2 linked regions of the Mus musculus genome follow. The protein of the gene in region 1 interacts with the protein of each later gene in a pairwise test. Links are inferred from orthologs where the notes say so. Each region holds a gene or a part of one and is shown on either strand. Other genes may lie near its edges.

Evidence for each region.
Region 2: the proteins of Fam131c (region 1) and Vsnl1 interact in binary tests that used the Homo sapiens proteins (3 or more experiments, as listed by UniProt). The two-hybrid records come from large-scale screens. The link is inferred for Mus musculus from reciprocal best matches to the Homo sapiens genes FAM131C and VSNL1.

Annotation. Positions count from the first base shown.
Region 1 is NC_000070.6:141,366,504-141,370,622, forward strand, and holds the start of Fam131c (protein FAM131C), read left to right. Parts: upstream 1-1,688; 5' UTR 1,689-1,799; coding exon 1,800-1,821; intron 1,822-4,119.
Region 2 is NC_000078.6:11,332,079-11,335,578, reverse strand, and holds part of Vsnl1 (visinin-like protein 1), read left to right. Parts: intron 1-3,362; coding exon 3,363-3,500.

The sequences.
Region 1 (4,119 bases):
CCCTTTGTTAGAATGGTACGGTATTTCCGCATAATCCAGGCACATCCTTACATATACTTTATATTCTTCCCCCTTATCTTTTTTGAGGCAGGGTCTCATGTAACCCAGGCTGACCTTGAACTCACTACGTAACCAAAGATGACCTTGAACTTCTGACCACCCTGATTCTACCTCCCAAGTGGTGGCATCCCTGCTCCTGTGCACTGTAAGTCACCGGTCTCGGGGCTATCTGTGATGCATGCCCCCTGTTGTCCTGTGTTGTGTATGGAGCAGTGATATTCATGTGTTTTCCTTTCAGATTCAGTTGTGGGTTTAAGTAACACTGTCTATATGAGCCAGGTCTCCATTTACACCTAGGTCTTAAAGCACCAGAGACAGCATGGGGCCACCTCCACTCTGACTTTACTCAATAGCTCGAGTCCCCAGCCCTGGGCAGCCCCAGCAGGCCTGGCTTCTGCTCTGCACAGGGTCTTCAAACCCTTGCTCTAAGCCATATTCATCCCCCAGGGCTGTCTCTAGTGATACAGGGCTGGTAAACAGACCCATTGACTCCTCTGTCTGGAAACAGGAATGTCCAAGGATGGGGTGAGGTGACATTTACCTCAGATACAGGGTGCTTCAGGCCTGGCAAGGTTTGTCACAGCACATCTGACCACTCTCTCCAGGATCCTAAATGAGTGCATGTGAATGCACACAGTGCATATGTGTGAGAAGAGGAACACACACACACACACACACACACACACACACACACACACACACACACGCTAACAGCCATACAAGTGCCAGCAATTAGCCTCCACTATTCCATGACAGAAGTTCCTAGGTAGGGTTTGCCTATACTTCCTTGCTCCAGAGGAGCCCTGGGAGGTAGCCTACCTTCTTGCATGAGACCGCTTATCTAGCCAGGAGGCCACTAATGCAGTGTCTTGGTCCTCCCTCAGAACTCCCTCCCTGGACCAGCATCCTCCCATAAGCAGGTGACTATCAAAAACCCCTGACCTGGAGGCTGGCGAGATGGCTCGGCAGGTTAAAGGTACTTACCAGGAAGTCTGGTTACCAAGTTTGATCCCTGAGACCCACATAGTGGAAAGAAAGAATAGAGTCCCGTCCCCCCCCACCCGCCACCCCAAGTGTACTTTGATCCCTCTCTCTCTCTCTCACACACACACTAAAAATAAAGCTCAGGGCCAGACAGTGGTGGTGCACGCCTTTAATCCCAGCACTTGGGAGGCAGAGGCACGCATACTTCTGAGCTCGAGGCCAGCCTGGTCTACAAACTGAGTTCCAGGACAGCCAGGGCTATTCAGAGAAATCCTGTCTCGAAAAGCCAATAAAATAAAATAAAACAAAATAAAATAAAACAAAACAAAGCTCGATCTTGCTCATTGTGCACAGTGGGATGAGGCTCATCTTTGCAGAATTCCCCTTCCCAGCCCTTTCCCCTGACCTTGAGCTCCAGAAAGCAGGCGCTACTCAGATTTGAAACTAGAAGTCTTCCTTACAGGGCCGAGTCCTGTTACTTTGGTTTGCCTTACTTTGGTTAGCGACAACAGGTACACTGGCACAGAGGGGGCGGGGCGCACCCCAGCCCCGCCCCCTCCGCGCTCCCCGGGTCCCCGCCCGCCGCGGTGTCGCCCGGCCTTGGCAGCTGCGGGCGCGGCGCGAGGCGATCCGGACGCGGCAGCGGGGACTAGGAGCGAGAGGAGGGCGAGCCGCGCAGCCCCGGCCCACGGAGACATGAGCGCGCGGCCGCCCACCGCACCCCAGGCGCAGTGGCCCAGCCCCGCCGCCCCGTGATGGGATCCTGTGTGTCGCGAGGTGAGGACAGGGCGGCCCGGGACGCAGCGAGAAGCGGGGGGCGGGGGGGGGGGCACCAGCGCTCCGCTCAGGGAAGCCAGGGTGGGTGTCCGCCCTTCATGGATCAGCCGCGCCCCAGAGGACACGGTGCGCCCCACGGGGACAGAGCTCGGGAGGGGGGCGAGCAGCGCGCAGAGGGGACGGAGGTCTCCGCACCCCACGCCCCACTCGGCACCCGGCAGGTGGCATGAAGCAAGGTCCGGTGCCATGCTTTCTTCCCCGCAGCTACACGCCTCCTGCAGTGTGCCTGAGAGGGGAGGGAGCCTTCCTATTTTTTCTGGTCCTCTTATGGGCCACTGAGCTCCAGGAAGACCTCGCTCCCGCTCAAGATGCCGGCAGGCCTTTTTAAGCCAGGATCCCATTTCTCCTCTCAGGGTGCCTGTGTCTTTAGCCCCAGAACCCTACCCCCACCCCACGCAGGAAGGGGTCAGTAGGGATGAACAGGTTATCAAGGCTCCCTCTTCCCCACCCTCATCCCTAACTCCATCCCCACCCCCACCCCTGCTCAGGGGACAGGAGAGGACAGAGGACAGCTGATGCTCCCAGTAACCCCTGGGCCTTTGTCTCTCACCTGGCACCTTGGCCATTCCAAGGTGATTCCAGAGAACTGGAGTGACTGTCCCTCATCTGTGGGGTTTGGGGAGAGCACTGTCTGTAAATGGGTGTGTGTGTGTGTGCATAGGATCTTTCATAGATGCTGTGGGGAGGGAATATTTGTATTTGGAGTAATATTTTAGGAGAGGTTGCGGAGTATGGGGACATGCCTGCACTCAGAAAGTGGAAGATCAAGAGCTCAAGGCCAGCATCCACAGCATAGAGAATTTGAGGCCAACCTGGGCTACATGAGAGCCTGTGTCAAAAAAAAAGCAAACACCTCAAAAGAGGTTGGGTCATGCCGGGAGTGGTGGTGCACGCCTTTAATCCCAGCACTTGGGAGGCAGTGGCAGGTGGATTTCTAAGTTCGAGGTCAGCCTGGTCTACAAAGTGAGTTCCAAGACAGCCAGGGCTATACAGAGAAACCCTGTCTCAAAAAACCAAAAAAAAAAAAAAAAAAAAAAAAGAGGTTGGGCCATTGTCCCACTTGGGAGTCTTACCCACTGTGGGAGCAGGGGGCGGGGCCAGGAGTGAGAGTGTACAGAGGTCAAGTCTACTCACCTCAGCCCCAAGGTCTTGCAAGACTGACATTGTATTGGTCACTGGTAATTTACCCAGACAGAGAAAGGTAAAATGGCCTTAGAGTGGGCTGGCAGGCCCCCTGGGGACACCCCAGGAGGGGGTGTTGGAATGTTGGAAGCAGCCCTCTCCCATTCTCTGGACTTTGAGGGCTTCCTCAGGTTCCCGGGGGAGTGTTGAGGGAAGTGACTCAGGGGGTCCCCGGAAGGTGACAGCAGGAGGGACAGGAGGAGCATGGTCAGGCTGTATGAAGTTGGTTCAAGTTGATTGGGGGTGACGAGGTACTTCCTGAGTGTCAGGCACCACGTTAGAAGCAGCTGGGAAAATCCAGTATGGCTCCTGGTCTGTTGAGACCTGAGGAACCCAGCCTGGCATCTGGCCAATGGGACAGTTCTCAGAGTGGAAAGCCCTGAAGGGTCTTTTAGGTCTACTCTCAGAGTCTGAGCTGTCCCCAGAAGCCCCAACGACTCATGGATGGCCTTCCATGAAGGCAGTTGTGGGTGTGAGGTATCTGGATATTTTTTCCTTAGTGACCAGGTCCCTTCTCCACCCCTTGGCCAACCCATGCCGGAGTGCACTGGCCCGTGAGCACAGGAGCCACCCAGAACAGTATAGAGGCCAGACAGCAGTGATGCCTGCCAAAGTCACACTGAGTCTGTGGCCTGGGGTCTCCAAGTCCCGTGCTCCTCCCGTACTCCCCTCTGCCAGGGCAGTTTGTGGTCACGCTGGCTGGGACAGTCTCCATTCTTCATCCTGCATCTTGGGCTTCCTGAGTGACACCCCCAAATCAAGCTGCATTGTCTTAACTTCTCTGTCCTGAGAGGTCTCAACGTGCACTCCAGCAAACTTAGAAGCGAGAGATCTGGTGGATACGTGGACAGAGGTCAGCCATCCTTCTAGAGACCCAGCTGATGACCCACTGGGCAGAGGTTACCTGCTCGCCTGTCACTTGGACGGTTTTATGGCTCACTGGGCTCTACTCTAAAACCCTGTAGGCACAGAAACTAATGCATCCAAATACTATGGTCAGCCCCATTTTACAAGTGACTACGCGACCTTGCCTAGGGCCATAAACTGGGAAAGAGC
Region 2 (3,500 bases), on another chromosome or scaffold:
TCTCAAGCACCTGCCCTTCCTACAAGCAGAGCAGCCCATAAGTAACGCCTGCCTGTAGAGGGGCAACCTCCACTGGTGCCCGTGACCCACAAAGAGCAAACGTGCCCGTTAGAATATATCAGGTATGTATTTCCTCCTTTCCGCACACAGGATCTGGCGTTCAGATCTCATGTTCACGTCCCTCAGTAGCCAGAAGCGGATGAATGAGAATCCTACTGAGCGGTCACAAAGATGTACACCACTTCCCTGAAGAACCCTTTCCTAAGGTTTCCGGCGCTCTGTTCACCCCGTGGTCCACTCTTAGCACTTAAAAAAGAGCATGGTAGACTCCAGATGATTTCCCACAATGGCTATGTGGTCTAGGCACACATGGACTGCAAGCTGTTGGTCTCTGCATCCCCAACATCCAGGATGGTACTTAAAAAGAAACCTTGTAATTTCGATTAAGTACTAATAAGGGGAGGTTGGGAAAAACATGATTTGGTTAGGGAACAAGGAAGCAAAGGGCAATGCTGGCTCTCAGGACCACATAAAGGTAAGACTGGTGGCCAGATACAGTGGCACATATCTGTAAACCCACATCCTGAGAGGCAGGAACAGGAGGGTTCATGGCCAGCCTGGTCTAGATAATGAGTACCATGTGAGCAGGGTTGCAGAGCGAAACCCTGTCTCAAAAGAAATTGAGAGAAGGGGGAGAAATCTGTGAAAACAATAAGTAGCTTTGAAGTTTCTGTATTCTGAGACATTGAAAAACAAAACAGAAAACTGAAGAATGGAACTCAAGCGCAGCCAAGGTAGAAGTAACTGAGATAGAGATAACTCCACCCTTCCTGTCCGATAGCCATGGAAACTTTGGGATCACCTATGAGCAGTTCCTGGAGCTGAAAGAGCACTTCCTGAGAGACCGCTGCTCCAAAGATGAGACTCTAGGGGCCTTGGCTGACAAACTCAAACTGACAAAAGGACGTATTAGGCTTTGGTTCTCCGAGAAAAGGACTAGGATCAAGCTTAAGCAGTGGTCTACAACCCAGGCCTGCAAGCACTAGGGAATGTACAGTTACCACTGAACACCAAGAGAAACCACCAGGCAGAAACCTCAGGAGACCTCTCGAAATGAACCTGGACTCGCCAAAGCTTTGGAAGCCTTGAATAGTCTCAGGCTCTCTTCTGGGTACCAAAGCAGAGATGGCATGCCACAGGATTTCCGACTCCCTAGTGTATCTAGTACATGCTCTTTTTGTTAAGGTTTTTTTTTTCAACTTCCTTAATGGGCATGGGGCTGTTGGGTTTTATGTCTATCACTGGTGCATTAATGCATAAAGCTCGAATTCATAGAGAAAGAAAAGGAAAGAAAAGGAAAGGAAAGGAAAGGAAAGGAAAGGAAAGGAAAGGAAAGGAAAGGAAAGGAAAGGAGAAGAAAAAAGAAAGCAAAACAATTGCCCTTCTTTTAAGCCGCTAAATGTTGGGGTGATTTTTGCTACCCAAAGACAGGAATAGGAACAGTGTAGAGAAATGACAGCTACTAGAGCCAGTGGTCCTCAACCTTCCTAATGCTGTGACCCTTTTTATTTTTGTTTTGTAATTTTATTTCATGTGCATTGGTGTTTGCCTGCATGTATGTCTGTGTGAGGATGTCAGAGTGCCTGGAACAGGAATTAGTTCCGAGCTGCTATGTGGTTGCTGGGAATTGAACCCTCATCCTCTGAAAGAGCAGCCAGTGCTTTAACAGCTGAGCCATCTCTCCAGCCCCCAGCTGTTACCCTTTAATACAGTTCCTCATGCTGTGGTGACCCCCAACCATAAAATTATCTTGTTGCTACTTTATAACTGTAATTTTGCTACTGCTATATCTGTGTTTTCTTTTGTTCTTAGGCAACCCCTGTGAAAGAGCTGTTCTACAACCCCCCCATAGGGTCCCAACCCACAAGTTGAGAACTACTGTACTAGATACAGTCCGCATTGGCCCCTCTTGCCCCTATAATTCTGTGTAGGCCATACACATAGGATCCTGATATGAAAAGCCCTATTTTATCTCTATGGCAAATTTTCTTTTTCCAATTTAAGAAATTAATTTATTATTAATCTATATGTGCCCACATGTGATATGTGATATATATACGAGTGTGCGCACACAGGTGCCATAGCATGCAGGTGGAGGCCAGAGGACAACTTATGGAAATCGGTTCTCTCCCCCTACTTTACTTGAGCTCCTGGGATCAAATTTGTGTCAAACAGCAGGTGCCTTTCCCTGCTGAACTGTCTTGATGGACCTAGTTCATCTAGTTTCCAGTGTGCTTCTGGGTACGGGAAGAAGTGGGTGCATAGGGCATAGGGTAACCTAGCAGATAAAAACACAATTGTATCCATGGCCCCAGGGGCAATGAGGCCATGGGCTAAGAGAGCACACTGGTGGCTGCTCACATGGTTCTTCCAATCAAACAAAACCTAGGGCAGGAATAGCAGAGACCAACCCTGGTGCTCTGCCAGTGACTCTGACTTACAATATATTCAGCCAGAATGCTAACAGACCTTCCATGCATGCATTCGACAGTGCGGTTTGTTTCTGTTTGGGGCCTTGAGATACATGTATGTGGTTGTCAGTGCTCAGAACTGCCTGCTGTTTGTGGCACACCTAGGATCCTATCTTAGGGGGAACCAGGACCACTGTGAACTGGCTCTCAAGGTCTCAGCCCTACCATAGACATCCTCTCCTCGGCTCCTTGTGTCCATTCTGTCACCCAAGCAGCCTGTTGCCTGCTGGCTCTGTGGAGAAAGCACTTTATGTCTCTCACAATAAGCCTAGTCGTGTTCTATTTTTAATGGATTTTTAAATGTCTGCTCTGCAAAGGAAAAGTCCCTGTTTAAAAAAAGAAAAAAAATTGGTATCTCACCCAGGAAGGTGACACACTGTGTCATGGCACCAGAGACAGAATCAGAAAGCTTGTCCCTGCATCCTGTGGTGTGGTGATCCCAAAGGAACCTAGAAATGTATGTTGCATAGCCCCATGTGGCCTGCTACCTGCCTCTGTCCTGCCCTGGAGGTGACTAATGGAACTACAGGAAAGCAAGGTGTTGAATGACTGGGACCCCATCAATCTGGAGGTCACATGCCTCCACAGGAAATGGTCTATCCCTGTGCTCAAAGAAAGGGGCGACAAGGCCTCCCCTTCTGCCTCCCTTCCCTTGATCATCACTGACCAATGCATTCTGCTGACAGATAAGGCCCATGCTGTCTCCAACCATGCTCCGTAGCCAGACTACACTGTAACGGGGATGGTATGAGCCTCTGCCCGTTCTCCATGCTAACTCTACCCTGGGGCCTCTGTACGTCCTCCCGCTCCTGACTTGTGTGTTCTTTGCAGTTCTTCCCCTATGGAGATGCCTCCAAGTTCGCGCAGCACGCCTTCCGCACCTTCGACAAGAACGGTGATGGCACCATCGATTTCCGAGAGTTCATCTGTGCCCTGTCCATCACCTCCAGAGGTAGCTTTGAGCAGAAA